2 linked regions of the Cricetulus griseus genome follow. The protein of the gene in region 1 binds, or shares a complex with, the protein of each later gene. Links are inferred from orthologs where the notes say so. Each region holds a gene or a part of one and is shown on either strand. Other genes may lie near its edges. The genes, in order: Ghrhr and Ghrh.

Evidence for each region.
Region 2: the proteins of Ghrhr (region 1) and Ghrh are in contact, whole or in part, in a cryo-EM structure (PDB 7CZ5), measured with the Homo sapiens proteins. The link is inferred for Cricetulus griseus from reciprocal best matches to the Homo sapiens genes GHRHR and GHRH. Residues at the interface, in NP_000814.2 of Homo sapiens: Leu119, Ala120, Glu122, Glu123, Phe126, Ser127, Val129, Lys130, Tyr133, Val179, Lys182, Leu186, Phe187, Asp190, Thr192, Asp193, His194, Cys195, Phe197, His210, Thr213, Phe217, Ala271, Cys272, Asp274, Leu275, Asp276, Trp282, Ile285, Ile289; in NP_066567.1 of Homo sapiens: Tyr32, Ala33, Asp34, Ala35, Ile36, Phe37, Thr38, Asn39, Ser40, Tyr41, Arg42, Val44, Leu45, Gly46, Gln47, Leu48, Ser49, Ala50, Leu53.

What each region holds. Positions count from the first base shown.
Region 1 is NC_048601.1:85,940,110-85,944,490, reverse strand, and holds the start of Ghrhr (growth hormone-releasing hormone receptor), read left to right. Parts: upstream 1-1,424; coding exon 1,425-1,481; intron 1,482-4,136; coding exon 4,137-4,239; intron 4,240-4,358; coding exon 4,359-4,381.
Region 2 is NC_048599.1:22,214,647-22,219,184, reverse strand, and holds the start of Ghrh (somatoliberin), read right to left. Parts: upstream 3,077-4,538; coding exon 2,997-3,076; intron 2,744-2,996; coding exon 2,639-2,743; intron 753-2,638; coding exon 633-752; intron 1-632. UniProt on the Homo sapiens protein: GRF is released by the hypothalamus and acts on the adenohypophyse to stimulate the secretion of growth hormone.

The sequences.
Region 1 (4,381 bases):
ATGTATTTCCTCAGTGCAGTGGCCTCTGTCCCCTTTTCGTCATGCCTTCTCTATAGCCCTTGATTTCTTCCTGTGTGCCACCCACGCTGGGCAACATGTGTAGAAAATATTTTCAGCATTTTGTTGACAACGACTAAGAGTGGAAAAATAAAGCCCTGCTGATGTCAAATGACTCCTAAATGCAGATGTGGTGGCGGGAAGCTTTCCACATTCATGACACAAATTCACTAGAAACACATCTGGCACCCCCAGCATACAGCCCAGCAGCTCTGTAAATTGAGATGGCCACTCAGTGATCAAGACCCCTTAGTTCCCCCCATCATTCAGGGTTGTTCAAGGTGACATTCACTTTCAGTCTGCAAATGCTGAGCAAGATCTAGTCTGGCTTAGGACACTGTCATTATTAGCCTGGCCAATCGAGCGCTTGCGTTTTGAAGTCAAAATAAAGAGTGGGTCTCTTCACTCCTACAATGGAAGATGGATGCTGTGCCCCTCTTGAATGTCCCAGCTCCAGGGACCCCTTTAAGAGGTCTCCAGTTAGCTTCCATTTCCACTCTGGACAGGAGGATTATTGAGAAACTTTGTTTAGCCCCATGTGTAGTTGGGAGCCTTGATGATGCAGAAGATCTCATTATCTTTGTGTCCCTATCAGGTAAATAATGTGGCACATTCTTGGTCAGCATAAACTGTGTTTAATGACAGTTTCTTCATTTGTGGTGGCAGAGATTTAAACCCAGAGCCGCACACATGTTGAGCAAATGCTTTACCATTGAGCCACACCCCAGACTCTTATGGCCATTTTTCATAAGGCTCATTCAAACATTCCAGGCTCCACTGTCACCCGCCCCACTTTTTCTGGGTCCCCTCAGCTTTGAGCTCACCCTCTAGACCCTTAGAAGAGACTGGGGGCGTCAACAGACCTGGGGCTCCATAAAGGCAGATCTGGGTCACCTTCTTGTTTTCTGAGGTCCCTTCATTCTGGTGCAGGTATAGGACCATCCTATACTTCCAGGTAAGACCACGGGGAACTGGACTCAGAAAATGACAGGAAAGTGTATTAAGTGTAACAGTGTCCTGTGGTTGTCACTTCTCTGGTATCCTATCTGTGCCCTCTGGATTCTTGCTGTCAGGACAGGTACATTCAGGCATGGGACAGGTGCACTCAGACACAGAGGCAGAGTGAGGTGGTGTATCAGAGCTCAGCCACCCCCTGCTGAGGACACAGAGTCCCATCTAGAGCTAGCAGTAACACAATGTCCCACCATTCTGCTCAATATTCAGCTGGGTGTCCCTGCTGTTGGCCCTGCCTACACAGTTCCTGGGAAGGGGAGGTAACAGAAGGTGCACCTAGGTGGCATCAGTAGAGACAGTCTGGGAGGGAAAAGGGCCAAGGCTCATTGAGGCTGAGCGCAGGCATCGCTGCCATGGACTGCCTGTTGTGGGACACCTGCGTCCTCTGCTTGCTGAACCTGTTGGGAGTTGTAAGTAGCCAGCTCAGGCCTCCTTCTCTTTTCTTCTCCAGCTGGGTGGTGGCAGGCTGTGGCTGAGGAACTCCTCAGTCTGCTGGCTTTCTCCTTTCTTCCCTTGACTAGTCTCAGACTCTGCCTTGAAGTGAGATGTCTCCTTGTTCCCTTGCCCACGTCGTATCTGTGTCCTCTGGGGGCCCTAGAGACACATGCTGGGAGTTTCCATCTTGGGATAGTTGAGCCCAGATATGGCCTCCATGTCACACCCGAGCCTGTCCCTTCTCTAAGCCACACACTTCCAGGCTGCCAACCATTTCTTCTCAAAAAGAACCAACACCTTCTTGTTGTCCTCTCTCCTGTCTCCTCAGCCACCTCCAGCATGGATGTTTCCTTGAAGGGAGTGTGGCCAGGAACTCTGTGGGGCCTGAGGAATTAGCTCTTCTAGCTATGGCAGTTGGTGACTCTGCCTTTGGTGATGCCAGGATTGGAGAGGCTTCAGAAACCAGCCACTGCTCTCTGGCTTGTGCATCAGGGTGTGGGCCAGTCAGGAGTACAGGTTTCCCTGAGTGTGCAGAAACTTCCCAGCAGACTTTCTGGGTCGCTGAAAGTAGCATCGAGGGCCCAGAGGGGAGGAGCCACAAGACACTAGCAGGAGCACATGGGGACTGAGGCTGCCTTCTTCCTCTACTGATTTGCCAGAGTGACCATCCATTCTAGTACCTCACTGCCCTTTGCTCAAGATGCTGGCATCTGGGGACCATGAAGTGAATTGTGTGACACTTGAGACTTCATTTGTCTCTGTAAAAAGAGAAACTTGAGTGAGGCAGAGGCAAGAGTATTATGATGAGTTTGATGTTAGTCTGGGCTACACTGAGAATTATAGTGCAGTCTACAGGGGGCTGCCATGCCTCTAGGAGGTGGTGGGGGATGAGCGATCTGGCTTGTCAAGGGCTGCCACGTGGGTGTCATGCAGATAACGTCCACGAGCTCCCTATATGGTACGAAGGGCTCACACTCTACTCTGTGTACATAGCACCAAAGCTTCATTTAGGGGAGGGAACCCTAGACCCAAACCTGTTGTTCAGCAGCTAGGGTAGATACCAGATTCGGGACTAGAGTTGACCACTGTCTTCTTCCAAACCTTGAGGTGAGCAGTTAGTCGGGTCAGGGAAAGGACCAGTGTGTGTGTGTGTGTGAGAGAGAGAGAGAGAGAGAGAGAGAGAGAGAGAGGAAGAGAAGAGAGAAAGAGAGAGAGAGGGGAGGAGGGAGAGAGAGAGAGAGGGAGAGAGAGAGAGGAGGGGGGAAGGAAGGAGGGAGGGAGGGAGGGAGGGAGGGAGGGAGGGAGGGAGGGAGGGAGGGAGGGATCTTGCAAAGGCATTTGGGTAAGTCTTGAGAGATATTAGGGATTCTAGCTCTCTAAAGAAAAGGTCAAATGCCAAATCCTAGTCATACCCCAGATCTCTGCCTAGCCTGGAGCACTTGGGTTCCAGATGGCCTCTGAATCACCCTTCAGAAACACAGATGTCCAGATAAACTTAGAGACCATTCCTTGTGGTCTCCCAGGCTCCGGGAGGTACCAATCTTCTATCTTTATGATCACCAAGCCACACATGAAGGCAGCATCCTTCTATCCATCTAATGATCAACTCCGCCACCCTGATACAGGACCCTTATCATCCATTATACCTCCTCCATGCATCCATATGTGTCCATCTTCCCTTATCGCATTGTCCGTGTGTCTGTCTGAACACTCATCCACTCCACCAGCCCTCCAGCTAGTACCCCCTCTCCCAGGACCTCCTTCCTTCCTGTTCATTGTTCCTTTATCTCAGTCAGGTGCTATTGTCTTCTCTCTCCCCCAGCCTCCTGTATATTCCCCACTTACTAGTTTACACATTTCCTCGTGTAACTTGCCTGAGACACATCCACAGCCCAACATGCTTTTCAATGGGCTAAACCCAAGTGTTTGGCAGGGCTGTGGTCCTTCTGGAGTCTCCTTGCTTGGCTGAGGCATTTCTTCATCTTCAATAAGTACAATAGCTCCTTTCATCATGTCCTCTCTGACTTGATCTTTGTGCCCCCTTGTGATGGCTCTGGTCCCGCTCAGATAATCAAGGACATCTTCCTGCTTGGAGATCATATATGCTAAGTGCCTTAGTTGTGTCAGGTTTTGTGGACTGGGAAATGGACATCTTTGGGGACCATTGTTCTACCTACAAGGGTTGCTTATGCAGAAACACTTGCAAGGCCTAGAAGTATGGAGGGATGGGGGGAGAAAGGGCCATGTTAGGGACTGCAATGTCCCATCTGTGGATTCTCTAAATGGCTTTCTTTAAGGTGTCTTAGAATTCACTGCCATGGGCTAGGAAAGTGCATCCATCCCTCCCTTCTTTCCTCCTCTCTCTGCCCCCCTCTGTTCTTTCCCTTCATGTCCCCCTTTCTTTTGCTCCCTTTCCTCCCTTATCTCTGAACTTTTGCCCTCTTTCTCCCACTCCCTCCTTCTTCATGCCCCACTACCCATCAAATATGCCTTGATACTGCTGGGACAGATGGGTCCTCAGAATCGGGGCACAACAATATACCAGGCCTGCTCTCTGCCTTTATATCACTAGAGCTAGAGAGCCGGAGGCCACCAGTGGGCTTGGCTCACCCTGTCACTATTTCTCATAGGCACTGGGTCACCTCCACCCAGAATGTGACTTCATCACACAGCTGAGAGAGGATGAGCTTGCGTGTCTTCAGGTGGCAGAGGGGACCAACAACACCTCCCTGGGTATGAAGGGGTGGGGGATGGATCCACCCTGATGCTGACATCTCCTCCAGTGCTGTCCTTTAGCATACCATGTCAGCTTCCCTCTGAGGTCACTCTGAATCTCCTTCTTCTCCACCTAGGCTGCCCTGGGACCTGGGATGGG
Region 2 (4,538 bases), on another chromosome or scaffold:
CTTTGGAAACTGGAATCTCATGGGATGATATCCCAAAGTATACATAGCGAGCCAGGACTGGCTAGTCTCTTTGATCTGCCTCTTCTTGGCTTCACTTTTCCAACTTCCCTGACTCCTGGTGACAATGTGAGGATCAATGAAATGGGGAGTGGCCATTGGGACCAGCTCTGCCTCTCATGACAGTGTCCCACATGCTCGGGTCAACCACTGAGCATGGTCTTTCTTGGGCATTATAGGTTCACGGACTTCACAGGGGATCCAAGGTGTACCCTTCACGTCACTCAATGCAGTCTCTTGGGACACCTGTTAAAACTCAGGGCCTGAGATCCATACCAGAAGTACTGATAACATTTCAAGACACACTGAGCCTGGCCTCTTGTTCTGCACTGGACACACTGCAGTGGCCATCGTGCAATCCCCTCACACATATCACTTTCTGCCCCTGAGGCCTGGGGGGTAGGGAAGGGCTTTGTCCCTTTGCTTGGAAGACTAGGCCCCACCCCTGTGAAGAGAAAGTGATTCTTTGCTTTTCTTGGAAACCGAGGGAAGAAAGTCTCTAAAGTCCCTAAAGAAATCTCTCCCTGCCTCCCCCCTGCTCCCTCACCTGTGGCACACCCCCTCTACCCTGTCACCTGTGCTTCTGCAGCAGGGCTTCCAAGAGGCTCTCCAGTGACACCTGCCTGTGGTCTGCCCACATGCTGTCCACCTGACGGCCAAGCCGTACCCTGGCTCCTGGTTCCTGGTTCCTCTCCCTGCGAGTTTGGAAAGGAGAAACAGTGAGGCAGTCATTGGCTAGGATGTCCAGTCAGGGACGTAGACCTTTGCTATTCCAGTATCTGATGTGGATTCTTAGGACGCCCACCCATGTTCAGCAGCATCTGGGGAGCAGTAGGCATTGCAGTGAAGAATGCAGCACGCATATGTATACCACTGCAAAACCCTCCCCACAGATTGATAATCTTGTAGGCAGCACATTAAACAAGGGGTCAGATGTATCGTTCACCAGTAACAGGACAACCCATTGTGTGGCAGCTTCTGATACCATGGCTGAGAAGGCCACATGGATACTAAATATGAAGGTAGCTTGGATGGGTTCACTGTGAAGGGAAGTCTAGGGAGTAATGACATTTACTAGTCAAAGTTGTCAAAGTCAAGAAAATCAGGCATCTTCCAGGTTAAACTCAAAGATATGCGGAGGGCTGGAGAGATGGCTCAGCAGTTAAGAGCACTTCTTGTAGGGGACCCAGGCTTCATTCCCAGCATCCACCTCACAGCCCTCCATAACTCCAGATTCAGGGGATTTAATGCCCGCTTTTGACCTCAGAGGGCACCTGGCATGCATGTGGTACACAGACATACATGAAAGCAAAACAATCCTATACATTAAAGAGAGAGAGAGAGAGAGAGAGAGAGAGAGAGAGATGATGATGGTGATGATGATGATGATGATGGCTAAATGGAGTCTGTGATCCTACACTGGACCTAAGGTCAGGGAAGACATTATTATAAGGAATCTGTTGGGACAACTGATGAAATTTGAATAAGTGTTGTGAGTGACAGCGGCACTGAGGACAGAGGGGGTGTTGCTTGTTAGCTGTTAAGAGATGCAAGTCCCGCAGGGTAAAAGGTCATGATAATTGTAGTCATGAGACTACAATCCCAGCATTCAGGAGACAAAAGCAGGAGGCACAGAAGCAAGTCATCCTCAGATACATACTGATTTCAAGGCCGACCCTGGTATACAAGAGCTTGCATCAAAAGAAATCAATTTTAAAGTGGCTCAGATAAAATGAGAATTTTGTATTTATTTATTTTAATGTGTGTGGGTTTTGTTGTTATTGTTTGCCTACATTTATGCCTGGTGCCTGTGGAGGCCAGAAGAGGGTGTTGGATCCCCTGTGACTGGAGTTGAAGATGTGTATAAGTCTCCACATAGGTGCTGGGAATTGAACTCAGGTCCTGTGCAAAAGCAGCACTTGCTAACTCCATCCCTGTGACATTTTTGTACATTTGAAGGTTTTTCAAAACAAAACCTACAAAAGTCAGGCTGTTTGGATCTTCACTTAGCCACTCTTTGTTCATCCTTTGGAGATGGCACACAGGGTCTGTGCAACGGGGTAACGACAGGTGGTCTCAGAGACCTGAGAAGAGACTTATAGAGGTTGCCCTGGCACGGGAGTCCTCATGAACGCACATGTCCTCATGCCTAGTCTTTGTTTCTGGCCTGGAGTCCTGATCAAACAGGAACAATGACCATCAGCATTGTCACCACTGGAGCCAAGGACAGGGAGAGGCACACAGAAGGTGTAGAGGTAAATGGAGGCTTGACCTGCGCAAAATCCAGGAAGGATATATATTCTCAGTCTGTGGGTTGCAACCTCTTTGGGGGTCATATATCAGATACTTACATTACCACTCATAGCAATAGCAAAATAACAGTTATGAAGCAGCAACAAAGTAGTTTCATCGTTGGGGGTCACCACAACACGAGGAACTGTATTAAAGCGTCACAGCATTAGGAAAGTTGAGAACCACCAATATACACTGTGTCAGGACCAAATGAAGCTTGGTCCCCACCTCCTGCATCAGGCCTCCCCAGCTCTAATGCAGGGGAAGAACTACTAAAATATCTGCTTACCCCTGCTGCCTGCTCATGATGTCCTGGAGCAGTTTGCGGGCAGACAGCTGGCCCAGAACTTTCCTGTAGCTGTTGGTAAAGATGGCATCTGCATATCGACGCACCCTGTGCAAAAGGGTCAGAGGTCAGGATGGGCCTGGCGAGAGGACAGTGCAGGCCTCGCCTCCCTCTGTTGTTCTCTGTCCCCCTCACTCCCTGAGAAACTCAGAGCCTGGTTGCATGATCTCTGGGGCTCCGTGCCCGGTGCCTGCCTGAGATGAACAGTGGGCATTGTGAAGAAATAGCGGTGGCTGCAGTCAGCATCTCTCTCTGCCCATGGTAGGGAGGTCTCGGGGGTGCAGGAATCCTGGCTGCTCACCTGAAGGGCAGTGATGGGAACGGTGAACAGTGGGAGCCGCTGGTGAGGGTGAGGATCACAAAGAACACCCAGAGTGGCATCCTTCACCCCTGGGTGGGACCTGCAAAGAAGACCAGGAGGGCACAATCAGACATAGCCACAGTGTCCCCTGGGCACCACTCCATGACAAGTCCTGGTCCTCATCCTTTGGCTGGTGGGCTTTGAAAGTCAGACATACCTGTATTCAAGTTCAACACTGTCAGTCCTCAGCTCTGGCTTCCGGCTTCCCCATCTGGGATGAATGGGACAAAGCCACACTAGCTACTGCATGAGGCTGAGCAGGAAATCTGTTAACTTGGTGAAACCGCCTCTCTTGGAAAGGATGAGGGGAACACACACACACTCAGGAGAGACACAGGCAGAGAAAGCATTGCCCCTGGTTGACTTGCAGCAGGGAGCAGAGGACACCATGCTCTCAGATAAATCTGACCTCAACTCCTGGTTCTGCTCTCACTACCTGAGCTCCCCATTACAAGTGGCTCAACCTTTCTGAGCCTCAGTTTCCCCAGCCACAGAATGGAGATAATAACCACAATGATCAGGTCAGGTGAGAAGAAACACATAAGGAACGCTCTAGAAACTTTTGCTGTGGTCACCTAACACTTATTTCACTCGGAGGATAGATTCATGCTGTTTCATTTTGTGTGGAGTTGCAGTAAAGATGGAAGTGTCTTGTTCTGGAAGCTTACATTTTGGAGGTAGAGTATTCGAGACTTGCCTGGAATTCACTGTGTTGTCAGGCTGACTTCTAACTCATAATCCTCCTGCCTCAGCTTCACGAGAGCTGGAATTATAGACATGTGCCACCAAACCTGGCAGAATTGTTACATTACACAGAGCTCTGAAAGGGGAAAAGGGAGCATCTAGTGTGAGTATGCCAGAATCTTTTCACTGACTTCATAATGGCCCTTAATTGGGACCTGTTAACACCATGCTCTGCAGTTAGGGGAGAGCTGCCTTGGCTAAGAGGATGTTCCTTTTAGCTCTGGCCTGCCCTGGTATGGAGCCAGTCACTGGCCAGCTAGGAGCTGGGTCTTCTCAGCAGAACGACTGCCCTGGAGGATCTGACTGGTCCCTGAAAGGCACCATTCCCATGATTCCTCTCTCCCTAGTCCCATTGAGGGCTAGGTCCAGCACTGACCCAGTCCACTAGGTCACTTCTCTTCAGGCAACAGGCCCCTCTGCAGATTCTGGCCACCTCTGGTTAGGGTGCCTTCGGTCCCAGGAAGTATTAGTGGGAACTGTTCACTGTGGCTCCAGTTCCTGCACCCTACACCAGGCCTCTCAGGTATGTTTTCATATGACTTAGGCCTTGTTTCTTGGGCCAAGCATCTACGCTCCCTGTCTTCCTCATATATCACACCAGGGGATTCCTTTTCCAGCTGGGCTGGGCCTCTCCAGAAGTGGAACTTTCCAAACAGGGAACCCTTTGGACATAAGGAGGATCCCTTGACTGCAAGCCACGGCATTTCCTGCCTCTCCACGACACACTGGCTTTTCACC